Linked DNA regions of Caenorhabditis elegans. The protein of the gene in region 1 interacts with the protein of each later gene in a pairwise test. Each region holds a gene or a part of one and is shown in the gene's direction. Other genes may lie near its edges.

Region 1 (8,251 bases):
CATTTGCCTCGAGATTAGAAATTGGCCTCAACTTACCGTATTCTTCCTATTAGACTTGTATCTTCTGGTTCTACTTTGGCAGAATATATCTCGGTTGCTTTAAATTTTATCAATAAATTGTCAACTACCAAATATGTACCAAATATGTCTCTATATTTTGGTTGTAGAGAATTTTTTGATAACACTTGAGACAATTGGAAAATAGGCCGTCAAAGTAGAGTAATTGTGGTGCAGACTTTGTAGGGAAAATACGGTATGCCTCAGCTTTAGTACTGGACGGCGATAATTTTAAACTATTTTTTTACAGGTTTCAATGTTTACAAAACTTGTTTACTGACAATGAGTTCTTAATTTTTTTACCACAGCCCAACATTAAAAATGCAAAACCTTAGCCAGCACGGAACATTTTCGTAGAACTATTTGATCACTTGTACCTCCAATCTTGTCATCATTCTCACCCATAAATGAAAACAAAATGTTAACAATGTCTTATTCTCCCCCTCTTCCAATTCCCTCACTAACATCTCCTCATTTTTCCATTTCAAATCATTTCTCTCTTGTCCTTGACTGTGATAATCGGCCACTTCCTATGAGGTAAAAGTAGTCGTCATCTCTTCTAAATTCTCTCGGAATACGCCTATACGCCAAGCGCATCATTTCAAAAAGTGAAGCGCGCAGAGAGAAAAAAGAAGGAGGAACGCAAATAGCAGCTCGTTTTTCGACGGTTCGGCAACAAAATGGGGGCGGAGCAATTGGTGGGGGCGCTTCTCAGGGCCTCTGCCTCATCGACCCCCGGCGCAACAGACCGTCCTCACAATACCCTTTCGGTATTCTGTAGGAATGCTTGTGTGTGTGTGTCTTTCCGATTTCATTTTTTTCGCTTCACTTTTTTACTCCGAGCAGAGCAGGAGCACTGTGTCTTTTTCTACTTTTATTCACTCCACCCCAAAGTTACTTTAAGCTTTCTAAACTATCGTGAATGAGTAACCGAATGGTTTAGGATTTCAAGTAGTGTCAATTAGAACTTGGTCATACAATTACTCAATAAATTTCCAACTTTATGACTCACTGAACACCCACATGTTTCTTCACATCTTTTGCTAGTTTTATTATGATTTTAAGTTTGAGTCAACAAGCTTTAGGTATGAAAATATGAATACTAAAATTAAAAAAAAAACAGCAATTCATTTTCAAAATCATTCATAAAAGTTGAAAACTTTACGAAACAAAATGCAACATAAATTTCGCTGTCCCACTTTTTTTAGAAAGTTTTTCAGATCTGAACAATTAAGTCTTTAAAGGAGATAGGCATGAAATCATTCCTTTTTGCCGGCTTTCGTACTTGGTTGCATCCTATTTTTCCTGTGAATTCTAGTAGGTTTCGTGCCTACCTAGAAGGTTTTTATTATTTTGCGATCATTTCACGTTGCTCGAAAAAAACAATTATAAGAAGCATTTACTGTAGTCTGCAGAAATAAAAAAAAATCAAGATAATCTTTTAAAAAAATCATGAATAAAATCATTTAACTTCCATCATTTTCTCGTCATTTTCCACCCAATTCTTGCAAATTTCCCTGCACAATGCGCGAGAAATTCAATCTCTATTGTTCTTCCATCTAACAATTCTCCGGAATGTGCTTGGGTGTTTCAATTTGTTTGACAGGTTAACGTTGACTCACCATCATGTCCTTCCACCCATATTCAATTCTGATTTCCATGAACAAAAATGGGCGTGTTCAGTCACTCCTCCTCCACCTTATTTGTTTTCTGTTTTTTTGTGGAGTGTACTCAAAAAAATGTTGAACATATATATGAGTGTGTATGTTTGTTGAAAACCGGCCACGCTTATTTGGGTTTTGATAAGGAACAAATTGGATGCCGAAGGATGCAGAAACATTTTTTTTTATCATATTGTTGTTTTAAGGTTTAACACTTTTTATTAAAATTTGTAATTGTTACTTTTTGCTCAGTTTTCTGTATTTTCCCAATTCAGCTTCTATATTTTCAAAAAAAAAATTTCAGGTAGCGTCAAACTTCTGAAAGAAGATGTCGTCTCACAAGGAATCTTCCGAGTACGAGATGCAATACAGATCCACCATCCAGCCAAGAACAGCGGTTCGCTCTCAATCACGTCAGTCTGGAAACTACGTGTCTGGTGGAAATGGAGCAGGATCCGGAGGTTAGTTAGATTTTAAAAAAATTTAAAGTTGAAAACGGTAAAGATTAAAAAAAATTTCAGCTATTACTATATCCTTTCCTCTGAAAATAATCATCAATACCAGGAGCATTTCTTGTTTCAAATTCTTGATTTGAAATCCGGATAGTTATATATCTTTTAAAAAAATTTCCTACTGAAGTCTAAGCTTCAGAGATCACTCAATTTCCAACGTATTTTCTATACTTTCCTGTTAGATTGAGAGTTTCAGAATATACTTTTATTTTTTCAAAAGTAGTAAACCTTCAAGCTATTTTTCTCCTGGACCGGTCTTATAGATGACCTTAATTCAAGTTGACACTATACATCCGATCAACTATTAACTGAACCAATATTCCAATATTCTTTTTTCCTTTCTTTCTCTATTTCTCTGTTTACATGTTTATCCGTCTACTACCCATCCATAATTATGTATTTGAATTCAAAGCGAATTAGTGAACAGTCGCATCAATCGAACCGAACACTTTATTCTCTCTCTCTCTCTCTCGTTCATCCGATTGCAAAAAAATAGTTTGGGTGGTTTTATTAATCAATTGGAAGATGAAGTAAATATTGGTTTTTGCTGTGCTATACAATAGAAATGAGGATGGAAATATAGACCTGGAGGATGAAAAGAAAATATAAAAACGAGAAAAAGAGAGCAAGAGTCGTTATCAGTGCGAACGCGTTGATTTGTTCTTGGCTAAACGAAACGTTTTTGAGAAAGGTGAACAGTTTGGTAGAGGATAATATTTTGAGCAGGGATTTTACATTTTTTCTACTCGGAGTTGATCCAAAATCTTCTGCTTAAAAATATCACTTAAAATCAATTATTTTCGAAATTATAAAAGTTAAAAGATAAAAAGTAATACTTTATGCCTTTAAATGCAATTTTTAATTTAATGAGTTTTCTTAATATTTGCTCACTTGGCAAGAAACCACACTTTTTCATAGTTTAACAAAAATCTAGAAACAGGTTTTTATGAAGTGAAATTTCTGTGAATAAATGGGGGAATTCCTCAAAAATTAAACAAATATTAATATTTTTGGAGTTTTGAGGCAAAAATGGGGAAAATTTGAAATTGGCAATTTTAGCATAAAATGTCAGGATAATTAAAACTTCAAAAACTGCAGTCGAAATATATTTAATTAAAAGCTAAAAACAGTTTTTAACAGTAAAAATTTGAAATTGAAAATTGTTTGTTAAGTCAGAGATTTAGGTACGTAAACTTACTACATAGTATTAGCTTCTTATAACTTGCCGTAAGCCTACGCACGTATCTGCTGCCTAAACACAAGTTATCTTTTATGTTTGTAATTTTTAGTTGTTCTTTGAGCAAGTTAACTCACTGTGAAAATAGAAAATAGGCAGGCATTACCATAACAAAAGAAAAATTGTTCTTTTTTATTGTTTTAAGCAAATCTGGAGATCAAGATCAAAATATAAGACCACAAGATTTTTTTCCGGCAGCCCATATCGTTTCCTATTCAACCGTCATTAAATCCACTTTTTCTCATCCAAAAAATCCCATAAATCTCTGGGTTTTCTCGTCTCTCGATACAGTCTCACAATTAGCATAATCACTGAGGAACGCCCTTCATTTTCAAACCAAAAATCTATTGAATTTAAAAGTTCAAGTTCCATCAAGTTTATAGTGCATGACAGAAAGAGTTGTTAGGCAAATAGTCTTCAACTATGCATATACATAAAAATGGCAACATTTTTGGAAATAAAATGCAAAAAGCAAATAACAGATTGAAAGAGGCACCAAAATTTCAGACAGTTTTAAATACAATATTTCAATTTTCGTAACCAGTTGAGATAACATGTATAAAAAGATACATTGAGCCGATTAAGTCAACAAAATGTTTAGTTTGTTGTTTCTTGGGCACACTTTCCGCCAGCCGGCTGACTGCTCAACACACTTGAAAACTTGACGGACTTTGAAGAAATCCGAGCTTTTATTGATTTTATTCATCATTTATTTTAATTTTGTTTTTTTTTGGGTAACGAATTAAAATTAAAAGAATCCCCTGAATAACTTTTAATTTAGAATACAGTTACGAAATAGATGAGAAATAGGTGAGAAAGGAAGGAATGACCACACCCAAGATGTGACTATTTTGAATGATGAGAAACTGAGACATGGAAAACACCCATTTTTTATGTGTGATTAGTCATTTAGTTTTAATGAGTGAGAATTGGGTGGAACAGTGACAAGAACTTATTATACTGATTATCACTTGATTTATGAGATCTTCTCGGATAGAATCTCGGATTTCTCCGATTTATTGCAAGATGGTGTAGAGTTTTTTTTTTCAATTAGAAATGTCCCATCTTACATTTAAGTTGTCAAAACTAATTTTTTAACCAATTTTGTTCTAACTTGAGATAAGTCAATTTTTGCGGCCCGTGTTTCAAGATTCTTAAACTTAAAAACATTTTTGAGGACTGGAAATGATGTTTTTCTTAATTGAATTTCTATCAAATTGACAAAAATAAAACAGGTACGTTGGCCTAAAAATAAGCCTTCCTACCATTAGATTTAGTTTCTGAAACAAAAATATCTCCCTTACCAAAAAATGTCAAAAATGGAATCCTAGTTAAATTAATTAGCTTCCCCGCAATTTAAAAAAGATAACAAAAATGAATGATTGAGATCTGATCAAGATGATTATCTTTAGTTGACTCCGCCCACAACAACCTTGACGTATTCTTCATCTTCAATTTCTAAGTAAGTAGTGTCTTGATCTCTTTCCACTTTTCTTCCAATTTATCCATTCATTCATAGGCACAGTCAACTCGCAATCTGTACGTATGTGTACATGTCCGTTGTCTTCAACTTATCACCATTATATCTTCTTCTCTTTCTCCATTTTCTATCATCGGTGATGATCGGGAAGGCAAAACCATTGACACACCTTCATTCTTTTTCTCTAAGTTCTCCACAAATTTAATGCTATTTCTTCGTTGGGTGGAGTATTCAGAAGAGGGTCAGAATTGGTCGACGGTTTCCGTTATTTTGCATAGTGTTTGTGACACTTACATTTAGTTTCTATACCATTTGTTTTTCATTTTTCATTCAGAAATTTTCGAACTTGTTCCTCATTATTTTTTTTCCCTTAATCTTCTAGAAAAACTTTAAAATTTCAAGCTAAAACACATCAGAAATGGAGGCTGAATCAGCGCCACAGGCACCAATGTCAGGAGGTAAGAATAGAAGAATATCGAAATATAAATTCCCAATAGAAATATAAAAACACTCAAATCAAATCTAATCTCCTAATTATCATTATAAAAACGTTCAGGACGCGTGCTAAAGATGGTGACAGAGATGGGATCAGCTACAGTCGGAGGAATTTCACCGGCCTTGTCCGCAAACGCAGCAAAATCGTTCCTTGAGGCGACTGATAAGGAAAAGAAGACACTGCAGGGACTCAATGATCGTCTCGGAAATTACATTGATCGTGTCAAGAAACTCGAAGAGCAGAACCGTAAATTGGTTGCTGATTTGGATGAGCTTCGCGGAAAATGGGGAAAAGACACATCCGAGATTAAGGTATTTTAGTGAATTTCAAATAAATTTTAAGCAAGCTTCTGCAAGCAAAAAACTGAAGTAGTTGTAGAAAAAACATTTATTATTTGATTGTGAATCAGTAATTTCTATTTAGATATATATTCGAAACTTTCAAGATTTTATTTACTATATTAGAGAATTCTCTCAAACATCCTTAAAATCTTCAACTTACCAGAAGAAAATCTGTGCGCTTCCTGTCCAGTGTTTTTTTAAAATTTCAACCTATATTTTGGAACAAACTTCTTAAAGCTTCTTTCCTATTCAAATTGTTAATTTCAGATCAAATACTCCGAATCCCTCTCAACAGCTCGTAAGGACATTGACGATGCTGCTCGTAGAAAGGCAGAGGTTGATGTGAAAGTTGCCAGACACCGTGACGACTTGGCTGAGTACAGATCCAGGTTTATTTATTCTTAATTTTCTGTTGCTTATCAATATTTATTCAGATACGAAGATATCCAGCAACGCCGTGAGTCCGATCGCGAGAAGATCTCCCAATGGACCAATGCTATCGCTGATGCTCAATCCGAAGTTGAGATGCTCCGTGCTCGTTTCAAGCAATTGACAGATGAGGAGAAGCGTGTTACAGCTGACAACTCGAGAATCTGGGAAGAACTTCAGAAGGCCAGAAGCGATCTTGATGATGAGACCATTGGCAGAATTGACTTCCAAAATCAAGTGCAGACTTTGATGGAGGAGCTCGAATTCTTGAGAAGAGTTCACGAACAAGAGGTTAAGGAACTTCAAGCTCTCCTTGCTCAGGCTCCAGCTGACACCAGAGAGTTCTTCAAAAACGAATTGGCTCTTGCCATCCGTGATATCAAAGATGAGTATGATATCATTGCCAAGCAAGGAAAGCAAGACATGGAGTCCTGGTACAAGCTCAAGGTTTCCGAGGTTCAAGGATCTGCCAACCGTGCCAATATGGAGTCCACCTACCAGAGGGATGAGGTCAAGAGAATGAGAGACAACATTGGAGATCTCCGCGGAAAATTGGGAGATTTGGAGAACAAGAACTCACTTTTGGAGAAGGAAGTTCAGAACTTGAACTACCAATTGACCGACGATCAAAGACAATACGAAGCTGCCCTCAACGACAGAGATGCTACATTGAGAAGAATGCGTGAGGAATGCCAAACATTGGTTGCTGAGCTTCAAGCTCTTTTGGATACCAAGCAAATGCTTGACGCCGAAATTGCCATCTACAGAAAAATGCTCGAGGGAGAAGAGACCAGGTAATTATTATCGTTATTTAATCAATATTCCCAGCAAGCCAAATTTTGGGCAGTTTTGTTATCATTTTGTTCTAAAACCTTTCTCAAAAGTTTCAAAAATATATTTGCAGAGTCGGACTCACCCAAATGGTTGAGCAAGCCGTCAAGACGCATTCTCTCCAACAACAAGAAAACACTGATTCGACAAGATCAGTTCGCGGTGAGGTATCCACCAAGACCACCTTCCAAAGATCCGCCAAGGGAAATGTGACAATTTCCGAGTGTGATCCAAATGGAAAGTTCATCAAGCTTGAGAACTCGCACAGAAACAAGGTATGTTGAAGCTTTTTGGTTTTGAAATGTTGAAAATTTTATTTCAGGATGAGAATGTTGGTGAGCACAAAATCAGAAGAAAGTTGGATGGAAGACGCGAAATTGTCTATTCCATTCCAGCCAATGTTGTTATCAAGCCAGGAAAGAACTTGACCGTAAGTTATTTTTATCATTGTTTTAGAAAAAAGTGTGTAGCTATGTAAATATTCTTAGTATTTTTTTAGTCTGCCACTATATTTTTGAGAAACCCAGCCAACATAGTCTGAAGCCCGTTAAAAACGTACTTTCACCTGAAAATTTCCAAAAAAAAAATTTTGAAAGGGAATGGCCAAATTTTGCTAAAATCTGAAATTTTGTGAGATTGTCCATGTAGCAATATCGGAAAATCAGTTGTTATTTCTCTAATGCTCTTTATCAGAGTTACAGGTTTTAGAAATTTGAAAATGTTTTCCCCAAGTTTTGAGCCACCATAAGAAATTTGGAAACATTTTCTGAGAGGTCTCATTATGAAATTTAATCGTTTCGGGTTAGTCTAAGGGTTTCTCGCATTTGCTGAGAAACTAATCTACATAATTTCGAAAAGAGAATATTCCAATTCCAATAAATTTCCAGATCTACGCCCGTGACCAAGGAGGCATCAACAACCCACCAGAGTCTCTTGTCTTCGATGGAGAGAACACCTGGGGAATCGGAGCCAATGTTGTGACGTCATTGGTGAACAAGGATGGAGAGGAGCGTGCAACACACACCCAGAAGACCATCCAATCCGGACAATAAGCTCTCATTATTTTTAAACAACTTTTTCTCTTTTAAACAACTCCCCAAAATCACTCAAGTTCTCTAGTTTCTGTCCATAATTTTCTTATTATTCTTGATGATAGACCTTCTCGACATTTTTTCTTTAAATTGATTCATTGAAACTGCCTAAAACT
Region 2 (3,911 bases), 150 kb from region 1:
CCTCTACCTTATTCACATTATTGCATTGTCTTATTCGTAAGCTTCATGTCTGAGAAAGCGGGGTTTTAAGTTTTTTGAGATTTGCAGAAAATATCGATTACATCACAAAGTGAAAGAAGATTCATCGCTTCCTGGAGTTTCTATAATTAAACCAATTGTTGGAAAAGATAATAATTTATACGAGAATATAGAATCATTTTTCACCACACAATATCACAAATATGAACTTTTGTTCTGTTTCAACTCTTCAGATGATGAAGCTGTGGAAGTTGTGAAGTGTCTCATGAAGAAATATCCGAAGGTTGATGCGAAACTTTTCTTTGGTAGGTCAACTGCTTTTCTGGAACATTTTTCTTAAAATCTTTTATTTTTTTAAGGAGGTGAAACCGTTGGACTGAATCCAAAGATCAACAACATGATGCCTGCGTATCGTTCTGCACTTTATCCGCTGATATTAGTTAGTGACAGTGGAATATTTATGCGTTCAGATGGTGTTTTGGATATGGCCACAACGATGATGAGTCATGAGAAAATGGCATTAGTGACACAGACACCGTATTGTAAGGATCGAGAAGGTTTCGATGCGGCTTTTGAGCAGGTAGAACATGGATTCCTTAGAAAGAAATCTATAAGAGCTCTAAATTTTAGATGTATTTTGGAACTTCTCATGGACGTATATACCTAGCTGGAAATTGTATGGACTTTGTCTGTTCCACGGGAATGTCATCAATGATGAAGAAAGAAGCACTTGATGAATGTGGTGGCATTTCTAATTTTGGAGGATATCTTGCAGAGGACTACTTTTTCGGAAGAGAGCTCGCAAATCGTGGTTACAAATCTGCAATATCATCTCACCCAGCTCTCCAGAACTCATCATCAGTATCGGTTTCGTCATTTCTCGATAGAATTTGCAGATGGGTCAAGTTAAGGATTGCCATGTTGCCACACATTCTTCTCGTTGAGCCATTGCAGGTAATTCCAAAATTCACTTTTTTTTAAATCTCCAATATTATAGGATTGCTTCCCGTCTGGTTTAATCATGGCATTCAGTTTGAATCATTTGGTAGGATTGAATATAATGCCAATATTGATACTTCATACTATCTACTGGTTCAGTATGGATTACTCGCTAATGAACAGTATGCAGGTAATATATTTTCTAATAAAATATACATCAACATTTTTCAAATTTCAGAATGGCAAATTGAGCTTCTCTCCACTTCAATTTATGCTCATTTGGCTTTTGCGTGAGCTCACCGCTCCTTTCGTCTTTATCAAAGCTCTTTTACAACCAACAATTCAATGGCGAAACAATGTTTTTCATTTGGCATGGGGTGGACAGATACTTCCACCAAAATGTTGATTGTTTCATTTATTCATTTTATTTCCAAATTTCACTAACCCCAAATTCATCATTCTTGTCTGTGATTCTGTTTCTCAACATTATCGTAAATCCTCTCACTACATCATCTGAATCTTTAAAGTCCGGGTTGTTGTCTCTCCATCAGTTACATTGTTAGCTTCACTCTCCTATGCTAACTGTCTCACATTACGGGTGACATCTGAAATACCATCTTCTGTGCTATTAATACATACACGATGGCCTAATAAAATATTCAGATTCGATTTCCTTAATTTTACGATTATATGAAGCTCAGGTTCAGAAAAATTCCAACTATGTAATTTATATCACCATAAATACAAATATCGAACAATACTATTACCCTGATGCGAAATTTTGCGATGTTTCCTCTAAAAGTACGGTACCCGGTCTCGACGACACATCATTAAATTTTTAACATTAAATGCAAAAAGCTATGCGCCTTTTAAGAGTACTGTAATTTCAAACTTATGTTCCTGCCAGATTGTCATCATTTTTTTTTTCATATTTTCGACAAAAATACATTTATTCATCCTAAAAACTCACATATAACAATACAAACGCTCAACTTTTGAAAAATCGTTGGAAAAAATTCGATAAAAATTCTGCAGCAACATAAGTTTGAAACTACAGTACTCTTTGAAGGCACACACCTTTTTGCATTTAATAACATTTGTCGTGTCGAGACCTTTTTTTCGGCTCAAATACCACATAATTTCGCATATGAGTAATATTCAGAATAACAAAGTTTTCAGATGCTCTCCACTATTCTACGAAACAATTTTGTACGTCGCTCATTTTCGTCCCGGATTTTCAGTCAAAATGAGTACGAAACAGCAGCTGATTCAACATTAGAAAGATTATCAGACTATTTCGATCAAATTGCCGATTCATTTCCGGTTTCCGAACAATTTGATGTATCTCATGCAATGGGAGTTTTGACTGTTAATGTATCGAAATCTGTTGGTACGAGATGGTTCTTGTATTTCTTAAATTAATTACTTAATTTCAGGAACGTATGTTATTAACAAACAATCACCAAATAAGCAAATTTGGTTGTCCAGTCCGATGTCTGGTCCGAAAAGATATGATTTAGAAGAGGAGGGAAAGTTAGTAAAAACACATTTTCATTATTTAAATTGTATATCTTGATCAAAAGCACAACTCCACTAGACCGAATATGATCAAGATGATCGTGTAACGAAAGGTTTCACGAACATCAAAAGAGAAGATTTAGATATATATCAGTTTGCAGACAAATGAGATTAAGCCGAGATGAGTAACATGCAAGTGTCTTATTGCGTAAAGTGCAGAAAAGAGGCGGAGAGGATGAGCACAAATTAACGCTTTTTGATTTCAGATGGACTTATGCACACGATGGTGAACAACTTGACTCGCTTCTAAACAGAGAATTCCGAAAGATTCTGGCCGATGACCGAATCGATTTCTCGCGACATGTCTAATCCGGATTTCATATCATGTGATTTCTATTCTCTCTCGATTTTTCTCTTTTTCTTGCATATTTGATGTATCATGTTTTCTCATGTATTGTAACTTAGTTATATATTGTCTAGATACTTTTCTGGTAAAGTTTTTCTTGCCCAAGCGTTTTTTATACGTTTAATGAAAATGAAACTGTGGAAAAATCTCTGATTATTATCAAAAAGTGCTGACGGATTCAGATTCACGAAAACTTTTCCGTAGAGTCTCCGTTCTAGATTTACGTTAAACAACGCGCGGTTCGTTATTTCGGAGTGTCGTTAGATAACCAAATTTTCTCGCATAATTTCCAAAATGAGAATTTTACAATTTCTGAACGTTTGTGCCAAATTTATTATGTTCTTCTATGTTCCTTATGTTCTAAAATGTTAATTAGTTGATAAATTCGTATTATTCCGATTTTTAAACCGATATCTCAAGCGGTTGCGTTGTCTTTCTGTAAACATGATTAATATCGTCTCATAAAATTTTCAAATTTAGGCGACTCTTCTCCATCTACAACAAAAAAGTCATTTTTACTTGGAGCTTTGCTACTTTTCAAACAAATGCCACGCCTAGCGCTGCGGTAAGATCGTGTATATACTCTAACTAGTTCATAATCGAATTTTCAGACAATACAACTTCTATTACCGCGTGAATGGTGAAAAGGCCGAAGAATTGCTCAAAGAGTATGGCGAAGATGGAGATTTTCTTCTTCGATACAGCGAATCAAATCCGCAAAATTTCTCGATTTCTGTCAGGTTTGTTGTAGTCATTCACTAATAAATTAATACAATTTCGGAAATCGTTTTCAGAGTCGCCGAAGACAAAATTCTGCATATCAAGGTGACAAAGTATGAAAGCGACATGCTCAGTATTTTCGAAGATGAACGGACTACGCCAAATCAATTCGGTTCCATCACCGAACTCGCCGAATTCTACATGGAGTTTCCAGAAAAACTCAGGGAGAAGAATGGACTCTTTCTTGAACTGAAAAAACCTGTTTATGTGCCATATCATCTGGAAGCTTGCGCAGAAGAGCAACGACGAA
Region 3 (5,007 bases), on another chromosome or scaffold:
TCGTTTTTTTTTGTTGGAAATTCTGCTTATTCGTTTATTTTTTCTAAGTTCCCGACAACTTAAATGCCTGGTCTTCACATTTTTCATTAGAACGGGAGTTAAAACATGATTCAGTCACTCTAAATTTTTTTTGGTGCAAAGCTGAAAAAAATATACAAGCCTATTTATTTCCTATGTATAACGCAAAAAAAATTTGAATTTCTTATCATTGTATTCCTCATAATCAGGTGTAGTTCTGCTTATAGAACGAAATGAGTATAAATTTCGTATCATTAAAACTAATAACACTGACCTTTAATAGATAGTGTGGCGTTTAAGACTATAGTTAGTAGTAGTTTAGAAAATGTCGTCGAACTTTTAGGGAACTATAGAATTTTTGCGGCAAATTTGCCGGATTAGCCGGACAAATTAAACAATTTTTATAAAATTGTTGTTCTCAATCAGAAACTTAATGAAAGAAAACATTTCATCGTGTTTCTTTCATTTTTATTCAAGAAATTCAGGATAAAATTGAACTAAAATCAGTGACATTAGTTTTTTTTTTTTTGTATTAAGGTTGCCACTTTTTGAGCTAAAATTTGAGCGACCACGACCGGTGTGATTTTTTTTTGACAATTTTTGGCTAACGACTAGCCTAACTTAAAAAAAAGGATTAAATATATGAAATGCTACTGATAAAAAAGTGTGTCGCTGCATGCAAAATCAACAGGATTTATGGGGTTACCGAAATAGTGTCGAAAAATTAAAAAGTGTAGAAAAATACCGTATCAATTGTAATAAATACATAAAATACATGTATTTTAATACATTTTGCAACATTACTTGAATAAACCCATTAGCACATAATTTTCAGACACAAGTTTTCAGATTTAGAGATCATTTTGTAATTTTGAGGCAATTTAATAGAATTTTATTTCTAATTACACTCTCGGTATCAGTGGCTCTCGTTAAAATCAACACCCCTAATTCAATATTCAATTCAATCCATATCTATTACCTCTCGGAGGACCTTCCCCTCCCCCCGTTCCACACCAACCCAAATAGGGCGTTGCCTTCCTCCGCTATGAATCACCCCGCCAACTTTTTGCCTGACTAATTTCGGCCGAGAGATTGTACAGTGCGGTGAGAGAAAGAGAGGCATAGGTTTTCCGTCCGTACAGTCGTCGCCTACGGTTCGATCAATTGTGGAAGTATAGTGTGTCCGTGTGTGTGTATGTTTCGCCTCTTCTATTGACATTCTATTTCAGTGTGCTTAGTTTTGTGTGTGTGTGTGTGTACTTTTCGAATTTTGGCGAGCTGCTGAACATTTTTGATTCTTGGAGCTCCTGTCAAATATTTTTACACTATTTTTTTTAATTTTGTATTTTTTAGTCCCTTTTCGGCCATTTTTATTAGTTTTTTTGACCCGACTTCGGAATTTCCAATTTTTCCGGAGTTTTTCGAATTTCCGAGAATTTATTTTCCCCCGCCTAAGCTTTAACTTAATCCTTAGCCTAGGCCTAAGCCTAAGCCTAAATCTAAGTCTACGCCTAAGCTTAAGCCTAAGTCTAAGTGTATGCCTAAGCCTAAGCCTGAAACTAAGTTTAAGCCCACGCGATTTTTTCCAATTTTGGCTAAAATCACTTCAAAATAAGAACTTCAAACTCCGCCTACTTCATCTGATTGGTTTAAAAATGGGCGGAGCGAATCGCTGATTGGTCGCAGTTCTCATTTTGGAGGGAATTTAGCCAAAATTGAAAAATCTAGTTTTTTTTTCCGATTTTTTCGTTCTTCTATTCTGGTTTTTCTGAATTTCAGACTATATTTGGATTTTTTTAAACTGCAAAATTTCAAATTTCAATTTTTCATTTTTAATTTTTAACTTTTAATTTTTCCAGATCCAATCATGAGCTCCGTCGAACTTCCACAAGTAATGGATGATAATTTGGTATTCTAAACAGCTGAAATTTGCTGAAATTATACTTTTTTTTTCCTCAATTCCAGATATCCCGACGCAAGAAAATCATGCAATCCATCGAGGATATTCGTGGCAAAAAGGCTGAAATCGCGCAAGCTCTCCGCGAATTAGGAGTCGGAAAGCCACAGGAGAATGAGGTGCGAAATATTTTATTTTTAAACTGAAAATTTGAATTTTCCAGTCTGTAAAAGAAGATATGAAGCTACTTTTGGCCGCGTTTGACTCGATTTCGGCACAAGAAGCTCAGTATATGGATATTTTGAAGACTATTGTCGTGAGTTTGCTTTTTTCGACAAATTTTCGTTTAAAAAATCGAGAAAAATCACAATTTTCCATTAAAAATAATTTTGTTCGATTGTCCAGGAGGAGTACACGGCGTGGGGGACTAGGTGGGTTTCTAGTCCCCCGCGCAGTGTAGTCCTCTCAGACAAACTTTATTTTATTATTTTTTAAACAATTGATGAATAAAAGTGAATTTTTTTCCAGTTTTCCGGGGTTTTTGATGAAAAAAATTTTTCCAGGGAATTCACGAACAAGCCACCCTCGATATCGCCAAAGATTTCGAGAAAAAAATCGAGGACGACGCTCAAAAACTGAAAGAACAGAAGGAGAAACAGGAGGAAGACGCCACGGAAGAAGACGAAAATGCGGAAAAGACTCCAGAAGAGCAGGCGAACAGTGAGGTTATCGCTGAGCTTCAGGAAGCGCTGCTCGAGCTAAAACAAGTCTCCGAGGCCGCGGTGGCGGCGTCTGAGCTGAACGAGAAGCTCGTCGAGAGGCTTCAGTTGACGAAGAGGAAGGTTTGTTTTGGTGGAAATTTGAGCAAAAAAAAAAAAAGAATTTTGAGCAAAAAATCAATATTATTCCAATTCAGAAGAGCGCTATGATGGAGGTTCGCGCCAAAAAGGCAAAGGATTTGGATGACGTAGCGACGAAAGTTCGAGCCGAGGTTATGGAGAGAATTAATAAAAGTAATAATTTTCACCAAATTGGTTACGAAAAACGAATTTTTTTTGCAAAAAAAAAACTGCGAAAAATGGTGAAAAATCAAGCATTTTAGCAGAAAACTGAAAAAAAAAAAACGTCAAACTTGTCCACGTGGAGTACACGCAGCCTGCGTAAATCTACACGAGTTTTAAAGAGACAGTGATTTATACAGGATTTTAAAAAGTTGAAAGTTTTCAGATTTTTCAATAAAAGAAATTTTTTCGGAAAAAATTTAAAATTTTGGCTATTTTTTTTACTTTTTAGCTAAAAACAAAATAAAAACACAATTTTTAAAATCTTAAAATTTTGAAAAAAATATTTTCTCGATTTTTCAAATTTTTTTCAAACAAAAAAATTGTATTTTTCGAAAAATTGCTCAAAATGTTGAAAAAAAATAGTTCAAACTTGTCCACGTGGAGTACACGCGGCCTCCGTAAATCTACACGAATTTTAAGGAGACAGTGATTTATACAGGATTTTCAGAAGTTAAAAATTTTCAGATTTTTCAAAAAAAAAATTCCGAAAAATTCGATTTTCCGGAAAATAACACAGTTTTTAAAATCTTAAAATTTTTTTAAAAACTTTTTTTTGATTTTTCAAAATTTCCAAAAACTATATTTTTCGAAAAATTGCTCAAAATGTTGAAAAAAAAAATTCAAAGTTGTCCACGTGGAGTACACGCGGCCTGCGTAAATCTACACGAGTTTTAAAGGAACATGGGCTCATACAAAATTCTAAAACAAATTCCGAATTTTCGAAAAAAAAATTTTTTTCTCAAAATTGCGTTTTTTTTCTTTTTTAGGAAAAAATTTCCAATTTTCAATAAAAAATTATATATTTTTCCAGTGGCGGCCCTCAAAAAAACGACTACAAAGCAAGAAAAAGAGCTCAAAGAGCTCCAGAAGCAGTGTCTTCAACTAGGACTTCAACTGGGAACTGATGAGAATCGAGAAATCGATCCGGCAGCAGAAGAAGCTCTTTTAGATGATAATCAACGTGTTCCAGTGATTGTGGAGACTCAGGAGAAGCCTGATTTGAATGATGAGGAAAAGGAGAAGAGAAGAGAGGAAATTCGAGAGAATATTAAGAAAGAAATGGAGAAGTTAGCATTAATTTTGATTTTAGACCTTAAAAATGAAAAAAGCTAGGAAAAATAGAAAAATCGTTGTTTTTAGTGCAAAAATTTTTGAAAACATTCCAAAAAAAAACCATTCATTTTGGAAGAAAATTACAAAAATCGTTGTACATTCTTCCAAAAAAATCCCAAAAAATATATTTTAAAAATCCCAAACATTTTGAAAAAGTTCCAAAAATGGGTTTTTTATCCAAAAAAAATCCAAAAACAATTCCAAAAAATTCCAAAAAAATTCTTTAAAAAATCCAAAAAAAAACCAAAAATTCTGAAAATTTTGTTTTTAAAAAACCCCCAAAAATTTTGAGAAAAATTCCGAAAATTGTTTTTTTTAACCAAAAAAAAGAAAAGAAAAATTCCTTAATTTCCTTTTAAAAATTCCTAAAAATTCGTAAAAAATCCCGAACAAAACCAAAATTTTTGAAAAAAATCCAGAACGTTTTAATCCAAAAAATTTCATAAAAAATCCATAAAAAATCCCAAAAATTTTGAAAAAAATCCAAAACTCTTTTTTAATCAAAAAAAATTCCAAAAGTTCCAAAAATTAATTTTTAAATTCAAAAAATTATGAAAGAAATCCACAAAAAACTCCAAAATTGCAATTTTAATCCAAAAATTTTTGACAAAAAATTTTAAAAATTTTGTTTGAAAAATTTGATAATCGTTGTTTTTTGGTCCAAAAAATTGAAAAAAAAACCAAAAATTAAAAAAAAAAGTTCCAAAAATTGTTTTTTAATCCAAAAAAAATCAAAGAAAAATTCCTTAATTTCATTTTAAAAAAATTCCTAAAAGTTCTGAAAAAATCCTTTAAAAAAAAATCCAGAAATTGTATTTTTAATCCAAAAATTTTTGAAAAAAAAAATCCTAAAAATTTTGTTTTAAACTTTTGAAAATCGTTGTTTTTTAGTTCAAAAAATTCTGAAAAAAATCC

What was found.
Region 2: the proteins of ifb-1 (region 1) and frh-1 interact in a two-hybrid assay, tested with the Caenorhabditis elegans proteins (one large-scale study listed by BioGRID).
Region 3: the proteins of ifb-1 (region 1) and Y56A3A.7 interact in a two-hybrid assay, tested with the Caenorhabditis elegans proteins (one large-scale study listed by BioGRID).

The regions. Positions count from the first base shown.
Region 1 is NC_003280.10:5,763,596-5,771,846, forward strand, and holds the start of ifb-1 (Intermediate filament protein ifb-1), read left to right. Parts: upstream 1-2,022; 5' UTR 2,023-2,046; coding exon 2,047-2,179; intron 2,180-4,626; exon of another isoform or gene 4,627-4,750; intron 4,751-5,349; exon of another isoform or gene 5,350-5,365; coding exon of another isoform or gene 5,366-5,405; intron 5,406-5,503; coding exon 5,504-5,754; intron 5,755-6,051; coding exon 6,052-6,173; intron 6,174-6,218; coding exon 6,219-7,007; intron 7,008-7,117; coding exon 7,118-7,319; intron 7,320-7,366; coding exon 7,367-7,474; intron 7,475-7,931; coding exon 7,932-8,096; 3' UTR 8,097-8,251. UniProt on the Caenorhabditis elegans protein: Cytoplasmic intermediate filaments provide mechanical strength to cells. Essential protein, involved in attachment structures in epidermal cells that connect muscles to the external cuticle. Required in morphogenesis and epidermal integrity.
Region 2 is NC_003280.10:5,915,286-5,919,196, forward strand, and holds frh-1 (Frataxin, mitochondrial), read left to right. Parts: upstream 1-2,136; coding exon 2,137-2,347; intron 2,348-2,393; coding exon 2,394-2,490; intron 2,491-2,741; coding exon 2,742-2,844; 3' UTR 2,845-3,279; downstream 3,280-3,911. Other genes in the region: cgt-3 (Ceramide glucosyltransferase 3), read left to right, coding at 1-36, 88-323, 378-598, 649-972, 1,016-1,147, 1,196-1,363; Tyrosine-protein phosphatase non-receptor type ptp-2, read left to right, coding at 3,427-3,446, 3,493-3,621, 3,676-3,911. UniProt on the Caenorhabditis elegans protein: Promotes the biosynthesis of heme as well as the assembly and repair of iron-sulfur clusters by delivering Fe(2+) to proteins involved in these pathways.
Region 3 is NC_003281.10:11,943,888-11,948,894, reverse strand, and holds the start of Y56A3A.7 (Homeobox protein cut-like), read left to right. Parts: upstream 1-1,875; 5' UTR 1,876-1,885; coding exon 1,886-1,927; intron 1,928-1,983; coding exon 1,984-2,094; intron 2,095-2,138; coding exon 2,139-2,231; intron 2,232-2,478; coding exon 2,479-2,757; intron 2,758-2,831; coding exon 2,832-2,928; intron 2,929-3,790; coding exon 3,791-4,046; intron 4,047-5,007.